Schizosaccharomyces pombe: one gene and its partners. The protein of the gene in region 3 binds, or shares a complex with, the protein of the main gene of each other region. Each region holds a gene or a part of one and is shown on either strand. Other genes may lie near its edges.

Region 1 (3,624 bases), on a different chromosome or scaffold from region 3:
TGTTAATAAATTAGATAATAAACAATTATACCTCATAAATTACTTCTTTCATAGCACCTTTTGGCTGATATTTGATATCCACACCTTCAATCTCTTCCAAGCCCATAAACCCATCGAAGTCGTCTAGGTGGTCAGGAAGCTTGACTTCCTTCCATTTAAGCTCGTCCAATGCAGCTTTCTTTGGCATCGTGATCAAAGCGTTGAAAAGTGTAGTAGTTTGCTCCACATAGAAAATGTAGGTAGACAAAAATTTACACTAAGAATTGGAACGAGGGAATAAAAATAATTGCATCGTATAAGCTAATAGAAAACAAATAATTAAATGTTACGAAGACATTAAACGACGATTGGTTTTAGCAATTCAATGCTTTGCCATGTTTTGCATAATTTCTAAATAGTACAACCATTTTGTATTAAAAATATTGCTTGAGAATTTTAGAATCGAATGATCTGAGCTACAGTGCTTACAAGAGTAGTAAACACAAACGATGTTACTACTATAGTTCTAATTCGGCTAGCAATTGGTACAGGTGAAAGGAACATTCTTATTACTTTGAAAATTTGACATCTCAGTCCTTCTCTTAAATAATAATAATAAAAATAGGAATTATAGATATGACAGAATAATATAAGGGTCTTTATGTTCACGCAGCTGTTTAGAATTATGTCGTATAAGATGTAGGTTGGGAAGCTAATACATAATTAATGCACATCCATAAAGTTTTTGAAGAAAAAAGGTAGATTGATCGGTCATAATTTAGCATTTCATTTTCAGACTATCATTGAAATGGAAGAAGTTTTTATTTCATTTTGGATTCTTCGAAAAGTACTCTTTTGTGAATTCTATGGGTTCATTCATTAGCTTCTTAAATGAGGCTTTAGAAAATCCATAATAACTTACTTGGGATCATATTTTATAAAAGCAAGCTTAGGAGCAGCTTTTGGACGTGAACGAACGTAGAAAAATCCAGTGCCAGCGGTGGACAATAATTTTACAAGCAAACTGAAAAATAAATGTTAAAAATGCGCATTAAATTAAGCATGTATGTCTTACCGAGCTTTATTCTTTTTAGCCATTCTGGATATACGTACAGTGCAAGCGGTAAGTTAAAGGTTTTGTAGTTACACCAGGGTTTGTGGGCGAGCTCTTTTAACTTGATGGATAACTTGCAGTCAGAAATGTAAAATTGAAAGTTTGCAATTCAAAGATATTGTTTTGAGTAATGAGAAAGCCTTTTTGCAATCCAATTTTTATTAAATTTGGTTGTGTACAATCGAGGCTTTTCAATAGGTTATTTTTTTGTTTTAGGTAGACTATAGAACTATTAGTAAAGATAAAAGGCTCATCAATGAATTACTTGTTTTGAAAAAAAGCATTTAGATTTGAAATTCTAATTGAGAAACATGCATGACGGCACTTAAGAACGAAAGACGAACAGTAAGAATAAAAAAATTAGAAAGAATTTTTGAATAAAAATAAAATAAAATAAAAAATAAAAAAATGTTAATAAGGAAAGTATAACAAATTGAGTCTGCTGCGTCTCTTCTCCTGATGTCTGCCAATTTAACAGAGAGGAATAATTAACAAACTATAAGTAATCTTATAAATAGAAGTTGCTGTTCTATTAACATTCGAAGAAAAAATATGAAGTGATGAACAACTCTTGAAAAATTCTTTTTTTTTATTACAATTATTATTGTTTTTTAATTATTGGCTGTAGATGGGTATTTAATTAAAGTCCAATCGCGTCTTTGCCAATTTATAATCTTATTTGTATTTCTACATTTTTTTTGGAAAGAATGATATTCAAATGAAAGAACCAATTTTCTTTCAGGAAAAATTCTTTTAGTTAAAATGACATGTACTAGATGAATTAGGACGTTAAGAATGAACTAATTGCAATAGCATAGTTTGCTAGCGTGAAAAAAAAACACAGATGGAAATTAGCGAGCCTAGTAAAGAAACATTTATGACGAGGTGGTTCTAAAAAGCCTTTCGTGTATATATATATATATATTCGGCTCTAAACAAACGCAAGCTTTAAGTATCATTGTAACTGTAAATTATTGGCAATACTGAAAGTATAAGACGATCCTCAAGTTGTAAGCAAACCTAATTCATTTGCTGTACCAAGACTAGGATGGATGAGTTACAAGTCACTTTAAGTGTTTATGGGTCCAAAGAGAATATAAAATGTGTTTTCCCAATTTTACAAGGGTTAGCCAAATAAAGAATGCAAATGAACAAATCGCATGAATTGCGGAAGCTAGTGACATTGTATGACGATCTGCCCGAAATCCCAAGTCCGTATCTCATCCGCGAAATTGAGACATATCACGATGCATACGGAGAAAATCTATACAACGCAAGTATAGCCGCACCCAAAGACGGATATAGAATAGACTGGAGAAGGCTACATCCCTCGGATATGGAGACTGAATGAAAGAATTGAGAGAGTATTTAAAGCTCATTAAGTGCAATGTTTACGATTGTTATTACGGTTCTACATGGTCAATAGTATGGGAAATTTTAAAATAAACATTTTTCCTGGTTGTGAAAATGATGGAGAGAAGCAACGAAAATATCTTTAACTGATGCTTTATATATGTAGAATAAAAATTGAGTTGGAAATTACAGCAGGGATAGTAAACAAGTCAAGGATATGTTACAGTTGTCATTAGAATAACAAAAGGTTTAATAACTATCTTTTAAAGAGGATTTGACATTGTACTAAGGGCTGAGACAACTCGCATTAAATAAGCAAAGGCTGAATTAAGTAAAAGAATATTCGCACTTAATAGAGGAATACTATGTTAAATATAGGATGGATTTGCTGTGTATATATAAAATTATTATCCTCTTATATATACATATAATTATCGTTAATTATTATTTATATTTTATTTTATTTTCTTATCTTTTCCTTGGTTTTTATGTATTTACTAGTAAATCTATAATAATCATTAACTTTAATAACTTTCTTCAACTGATCAATTTCCCAACCAAAATGCTTTGTTATTTGTTCTTTAAGCTTGCTATGTTCTTTAGCTGCGTGTCTATCATCTCTTCTTGTTTGGCTTGGCACGTGCCATTTTACCATTTCTTGCTTCCTCCTACCTTTTAGGCCTTAATATTAACCCCCTGGGTCATCTTTTGGCATATAGGGTAAAGGGGCCAAACTCACTATCCAAGATAAGTCTAAGTATGCAACTGTTAACATTTCAGTTAAGCACGTTGTCTCCTATAAGCAAGTATAACGTAGTTTAAAAAGAACGTTAAGTTAATTAGTCTGCACATAATACAAACATGGGATAGTGAGACAATATCGTCTGTTAGAGTAAATTTTCCTTTCTTGAAAGATTTTCCATTTTTGTGCATGAAAAGGCGTAATTTAAGATCATGCGATGGGTAGTACAGGTCAAATTGATAAACCGACTTTTACCAGTTTGTGCTATCAGATCTCACACTGTGCTCTCCTTCCGTCGCATTATTTTGTTATTTTTTGAGCTGAGTATTCCCGTAATCCAAGGACAAGCGTCAGGGTGTGTACGATAGTTGATCTGTTTAATAAAGAAACATATTATTAGAAAAATTAGGAATCATCAGGAAATCAACAAGTTCCA
Region 2 (3,761 bases), on a different chromosome or scaffold from region 3:
AAGTTGTAAAAGAATTGGATAGTATATGTAGGTGCATCCCAATAACTCCAAAATTTCCCGGGTGCACGATCTATTTCGTGAGCATCTGCGCAACAAAGTTAATATAAATAAAAAATCAGTAAAACCAACATACCAATTTTAAAGGCTATTGATTCGTATGGTTCAGCAGCCACTACCAGATACTGAAACTTTCGGTCAGGAGCTTCAACACGCTGTTCATAAGCACTCATAATTCTGTATCTTGGCTTAGCGTTCACTTCAATATCTGGATACTTTATTTGGAAACGTAGGCCAAATTTTCCGCTTTCGGCTTCTCTTATTTTGGACACTTTATAACCGGGTCGACCAATTTTTACGACACTTTTTTTAACCTGGACATGGGATTGAGAAATGCCCAACAACACTTGTGGTGCATTCTCTTGAGACTTTTTATTTTCGAGAGCCTGTCTCCTGGCTAAATTTGTCTGGTGTTTTTTACCTTGTGTATGGGTAAGGTAAGAGTTTTCATTCGCATGTGTAGTGAGGCAAAGACGACATTCAAAAGTGCCTAAATGATTTTTCATCAAATATGGATCCTATAAGAGATTAGCAATAGAAATATCATCGCAAAGAGTTTGAGGAGGAAGCTTCAAGGTGATTGACAGGGTAAAAAAAAGATGTCCAATTAGTGTAACATGCAAAACAGCAAACAAGGAAGTAGAAAGCAAATCCTTTTCATTTATTATTGTTGTTATTTTAGTTGTTATAGTTAGCGAATTTAACAGCAACTACTAATAAACTTCAATAATATGTAACATACGTACATGTCTTACTTTACACGATTAATTCATCGGTAATTATAATTGACATTCAGCACTCAAATTTTCAGAATTCAGTGGTTTTTAAACATACCTTTGATAAATCAATGGTTTCTAGCGCCAATTTACGAAGACGCTCTCTACGTGCAGCATTTGTTTCTTGATAGCCAGCAACGCCTCCTCCTCCAAAACGAACACCTGCGCGGTTTTGATAATCCATTTTTTAGTTCCTAGAAAATCCAACACTTATTTTTCTGTACTTTCACAATGACAATAAAGTCCCCTAAAAGACGGTGGCAGAGGCTGTACTTTCGTGAACCCCTATGTTTAAAGAAATATCGCAATGCAGAACAATACGCTAAATTCTCATCGTCGATGCCTTTTTTTTAACAAATATTTTAAATAGCAGATTAGAGCTCCTTTTCTCCATTTTATTATGTCACGTAAAAACAAAAAAAAATAATAACTTTTGATAAATTTAATGTATTGATGCTCCCATATATGAGTATATTTAATATGCTTTCAATATTTAAAAAGCCGGGACTGCAGCAATTTGCTTCCAATTTAAAATACTGGGTATTATTAATAAAATAAAATAGATAAAAGAAAGTATAAGATGTCATTTAACTGCTAAAACCTTTTTTGTACTATAAATTATCACTTTTAGCCCATGAATCGAATTCATTAAACTGATGGATTTTACTATTTGGTAATCTCATGCCAATTATTTGTTGGGAAAAAGCAAAAGCGATATCAAATTTTAGGGGTTCAGGTTGCTTTCTTTAAGGGCGTATAAAGAATGGTTAATGAACTATTTATTAATAATAATAGTATTATTATTATATTACCGACATTCCAGTGAATTGAATGAAACTATTAAAACGTAGTTATTGGATTTTAGCAAAGATTTTAATTTATTGTAACACAAATATTTGAAATTTAACACTTCGAATGTCAAACGGTGCTACACTGATTCACTTCAACCTTTCTAATAACCAGCTACTCCATCACATCTCAAATCTCTTCATTTTGCACATTTACGTTCATATATAATTTTTATATTATTTTTTGAAATTTTTTCTCTTGAAATCCAGTCACCTGCTTTCATTCCTATTGCTTTATGATGTTTATGCAACAATTTCGAAATTTGTTGCATCCTGCCATGAAGGGAGCCAGGAATATTTCAATATTAGCTGGAGGAGGAACTATGAGAGGGTTTCCGACAAGAAACCCTTTTAATACCGCTACTTTATACAGTTCTTTACCGACTATGAACATCTTCGGTCAAATGCAGCAAGTGCGTTGGAAAACGTATGGAAACGAGTATCAACCCTCAAATAGAAAGCGTAAAAGAAAACACGGATTTTTATCTCGAATTCGTTCTGTTAACGGTCGTCGTGTTTTACGAGATCGAAGACAAAAAGGGAGGATGTATCTGAGCCATTGAGTACATATTATCTTTTAATGGGCTCTAATTTGCATTAGTAACCTCTATCAATTCTTCATTTAAGTAATGCTTTCTAGTTTGTGATACATTTTCTTTCCATTGGTTCTTTGTTTAATTTTACTTGTTGAACTTTGAACTTTAATAACTTCTTTAAAACACGAGTTTATAAAATTTATTTTCCATGTCTGCGACTATATTTTTCATGAACAATTTTCCATCATTTATAAAATAAACCGTAATTTTTTTATATATTGGGTGCGATCATATCGGACTTAACCCACTTTTCTACCGTTTCTTTAGAGGTGCTTAAAAGCAAAAATTGTCTAGCTTCTAAAGCTATCCATAATTGAACCATTGGGTTTGTGAGTGAGACATTGGATTTCGATGAAGCAGAACGAAGATATGGTGTAGCATTACTTAATAGATCCATTTCTGGATATAGTTGGCGTCCAGCGCCTTCAACTAAAAGGATAGATAGCACAGTATTTGCGAAATTTGCTTCAATTCGAACATGATGCTCTCTCGCCATAGTCATTACTTCTTGTAATATAGTTCCTATTTGAAGTGATTTCAGTGAAAGCGTGCTCTTTTGAATTTCATTCAACAAATGTTCCATTTTAAGAGCAAATATGTCTTTGTTTATAACGCGTTCTGTCTGCCTGCTCCTTTCAACCATCAACAGTCCAGCCTCATAGCCATGGAAAGTAAGTACGGCTTGAAACAGATCCAAAAAATTTTTCTGATCCTGCGTACTAAGTTTCGTTACTAATCCAGCATCCAAAAATACTAAAGTCGGTCGATAGCCCAAGATGTTTAATTCTTCCATAGCAGAATCCCATTCCTCCGTCGAACATGTACTTAGAATTTTATAAATTGAGTCATTAATCTCATTATCTTGATTAAAGATTGTTTTAGGGATTCCTTTGTAAAATTTAACAAGGACATTACCCGGATGAAGATCAGCATGTGTAAAGTTGTCAACAATAAGCATTTGAAATAATGCATTATTTCCTGTGTTAGCTAACAACTTGTTAAATGGTCCTGACTTATGTTTGAGGAACGCGCTTAATGGGATACCCGGCATATAGTCTTCTAGTAGGATTTGATTAGTCGTGTAATCATCATAGGGAGCTGGAAATTCAACATATCTATTTCCTCTAAAGTTAAGACGGAACTGGTTGAGATGAAGCGCCTCATAATGTAAATTCAATTGCTGGTTTAACATTGCCCCAAATACCTTAACTTCGTCGGGCAGAGAAAGCCACTTCATTGAAGGTACCAAATTAATTAATTTTGCGAAGAAACCTAAGATTTGTAAGTCTAAAGAAATGTATTTTTCAACATTCGGGTGCAAAACTTTAATGGCTACATCTTGAGTCACTGGCGCATCAGAGATATTTTTCTGTCGAAACCCTATAGATTGTAGCATACTTGTAAAGTAGGAATTATCTTGCTGCGTAGCTGCTTTCTTGATGGTAGCCGTATAGACTTGAGCAATTGCTCCAACACCTATAGGT
Region 3 (3,002 bases):
TAATAAAGAGAGATGGCACTTATTTGATTGCTTTCAAAACAAGTTCTATTTAACAAGTTACTTATATATAACGGAAAGCCAAAAATAAACCGTTTACTAGTAAAGAAACCTTTCTGAATGCTCCTATTATTAAAACGCTTTTAGGCTTGAGTGACATATTCATAGTGAAATTTACGCTCAAATATCTTCATTGAAAGTTTATTCTACTGAATATGCTTAAGTGTAAGTATTTGGTCCTTTAAATTGAAGATAATTATATATGAGCCACATAAATATTATTCTCATGTTAGAAAAAAAAATTCTTGCTTTATTTATTTGAGTATTTCCATATGCTAAAACACTCTGTATCATAAAGTCGTCTTCAGCATTCTCACTTCAAAAACTTGTATCCTTTTCAATACTCCATAATTAATAATAAAATAAAGGAACAAAATAACAATAAAATCGTTCATTATTCATTCTTTATCGCTTGAATTTCCTTCCCATGTAGGCTCCCCTTTTAACCTCTTTACACGTTTATTTTCGTACTCCTCGTTCTGTAGATTCAACTGATCTAATAAGATCCTCTATAACAGGTGGTTAATAAAAAAGGAACTGGTGAATGTAAATTCACGAAAAGCAAATGCACTTTGCAGCTGGTTGCCAAAACTTAAATATTGTAAAACAAGATCAGCACTTTACTTACATAATATTCTTCATTAACGTCGACCTTTCTTCTTCTTTTAATAATGTCTAACTCTGCATCCCGGGACAAGGATTTAACTTGTTCATCTCGTCTGTTAAATTTGACTTGGGAAATGGGGATCAAGCATGACCAGACTAATAATACTGAGCTCAAAAACGGCAATCCAACGTAAATAAACGGACTTTTCTTGGCTTGAAGCCTATACCAACTTTTAAATCGATAGAAAAGCATTTTAATTTATTAACATCCTTACATTCGCTGAAAACGATGGATTGTTAAGAATGTGTAGTAAATAGCAAGTTGGTTAAGATGATTATGGCAAACTTCACTCAGCATGTTAGGATGGAAATTAATAAGATAGTCGTTGGTTTGTAATAATTAATTTTAAGAGTAGAGTTTTAATAGAAATCTGCACTTTGAAATCTTTTTATTTCTACTAATTATTCAAGCTGCATCGCGTGACAGCATTCCTACATAGCCCAAGCACTTCAGGTGAAAACCCTTTATAGTTTTAATTACAATACACATTAGGAAAAAGAAACATATCGATGGCATGTGCTAGTGACAGACTGTGACTTCCAGTAAACATGTGTTTTACTTTGTTTACCATAAAATGGTATGTAAAATGTTTATTGAAAGTAATAAAATAGCTGAGAAAAGACCATTTAATTTCAGCTTGTGATTCAAATGAAATAATCATGCTTTTTAGTTAGGATATTTGCCAATCCCTAAAAACTTAATATATTAATTGATAGTAAGGAGTTAACTTTGAAAAGCTATGTAGCTAAATTTTGGTTTGCTTCTTTTAAACGGCTTCAATTCAGCGCTATTGTTGTTCAACAAATGAAAAATTTTGCGACATTTTAACTAATCCGTATTTGAGATTCAAAAATCAACTAAAATTTTTCAAAAAAATCCTAAAACGAACAACGTTTATGAAAACGTCTTTTCCATTTATCTGAGTTGCCTATTTAATGTCAATACTTTTACTTCTATTCAATCAAGCAGAAGAGAAGGACACATTTGGTCTATTCGGGAATTTTTCTGACTGCTATTAAAAGCTTTAATATTACAAATAAGTAAACACATTACAATTAATTCACCCAAATATTTCAAATTAGTTATTATTCTAATTACAATTATTTTTAAGGAAGAACATGTTACTTTATTGCATGAGAGACATACAACTTACAACTGTATTTTCTTCTTTAACCTTATGGCTTCTACTAGAACGACAATCATAAAATTAATTGTACCGGCAGGAAAAGCTACGCCTACGCCTCCAATTGGACCTGCCCTTGGTGCTCGCGGGTTGAAGAGCATAGACTTTTGTAAAGAATTTAATGCGCGGACGGCAGGTTGGATGCCAAATACCCCAGTGCCTTGTAAAATTACTGTCACACCTCAAAGAACATTTACTTTCACTATACATACTCCTCCAACCAGTTGGTTAATCTCTAAAACCCTCGACCTTGAAAAAGGTTCAAGTTCCCCATTACATGATATAAAGGGACAATTAAGCTTGAAGCATATATATGAAATTGCCAAATTGAAAAGTACTGATCCAAGCTTACAAGGAATAGAGCTTCTTTCTCTTTGTAAAAGTGTCATTGGAACAGCTAAAAGCATGGGCGTCAAAGTCGTACCTTAATCTTATGAGACGCCAGAGCATTTTGTAACTGGTCATACTTGAGGTTATTTTTTTTTCTATCTTGTTATAAACTATTCCCCTCTTTTTTCTTGAATAAAAGCAGTTAATGATATGACTTTTTACTATTACCGACTAAAACGTTGTCCCTGTTTTCTTATTTTCTCCTTTTCTTAGTTGTTTTATATTATTCCTTCGTTAAACAAGCAAAGTAAAAAAACACGTTTGCCATATAAAATTAAAGAATTGCATACCGTTAGTTTACAAACACATCTTAGACTAAATGATTACCTTTAGCATTAAACTATCAATATAGATAACGAAACAGATATGCTAAGCAGAAAAGAAAATGAAGATTTTCAAGTGTGAGTTTTATGTTTACTCTAAGTCACGCCTTATGAAATGCAGCTCAATAAAAGAGAGCCTCAAACTCTGTCTATCTATCAAAAAATAAGAAAAAAAAAACCAAGATTAGTACTGCAGAAACGCTCGAAAATAAAAGAAATGGCTTATGCTATAGGGAGGCATAATTGATGCTTGGCTTGAATAACAGCATCACGATCACCAGTATTTTTCATGATATCGTCACTAATCTTCACTGCTTTAGTTCCTTCAGCGGAAAAAAGCTTAATAACAATATTCATAGGTTTGCTCACTTCACTGGGATTG

Evidence for each region.
Region 1: mrpl19 (region 3) and mrpl39 share a complex: the UniProt entries of both Schizosaccharomyces pombe proteins name them as parts of the mitochondrial large ribosomal subunit.
Region 2: mrpl19 (region 3) and mrx14 share a complex: the UniProt entries of both Schizosaccharomyces pombe proteins name them as parts of the mitochondrial large ribosomal subunit.

What each region holds. Positions count from the first base shown.
Region 1 is NC_003423.3:2,700,173-2,703,796, forward strand, and holds mrpl39 (mitochondrial ribosomal protein subunit bL33m), read right to left. Parts: upstream 1,580-3,624; 5' UTR 1,078-1,579; coding exon 1,055-1,077; exon of another isoform or gene 1,004-1,054; coding exon 902-1,003; exon of another isoform or gene 871-901; intron 844-870; coding exon 801-843; 3' UTR 563-800; downstream 1-562. Other genes in the region: ATP-dependent RNA helicase Mak5, read right to left, coding at 32-187. UniProt on the Schizosaccharomyces pombe protein: Component of the mitochondrial ribosome (mitoribosome), a dedicated translation machinery responsible for the synthesis of mitochondrial genome-encoded proteins, including at least some of the essential transmembrane subunits of the mitochondrial respiratory chain.
Region 2 is NC_003423.3:3,803,058-3,806,818, reverse strand, and holds mrx14 (mitochondrial 54S ribosomal protein bL34m), read left to right. Parts: upstream 1-1,790; 5' UTR 1,791-1,917; coding exon 1,918-2,244; 3' UTR 2,245-2,488; downstream 2,489-3,761. Other genes in the region: U2 snRNP-associated protein Sap62, read right to left, coding at 1-70, 134-575, 892-1,017; cqd1 (ABC1 kinase family protein ), read right to left, coding at 2,489-3,761. UniProt on the Schizosaccharomyces pombe protein: Component of the mitochondrial ribosome (mitoribosome), a dedicated translation machinery responsible for the synthesis of mitochondrial genome-encoded proteins, including at least some of the essential transmembrane subunits of the mitochondrial respiratory chain.
Region 3 is NC_003424.3:3,205,434-3,208,435, reverse strand, and holds mrpl19 (mitochondrial 54S ribosomal protein uL11m), read left to right. Parts: upstream 1-1,895; 5' UTR 1,896-1,901; coding exon 1,902-2,336; 3' UTR 2,337-2,474; downstream 2,475-3,002. Other genes in the region: cytochrome c oxidase assembly protein Cox16, read right to left, coding at 456-566, 686-916; npt1 (nicotinate phosphoribosyltransferase), read right to left, coding at 2,843-3,002. UniProt on the Schizosaccharomyces pombe protein: Component of the mitochondrial ribosome (mitoribosome), a dedicated translation machinery responsible for the synthesis of mitochondrial genome-encoded proteins, including at least some of the essential transmembrane subunits of the mitochondrial respiratory chain.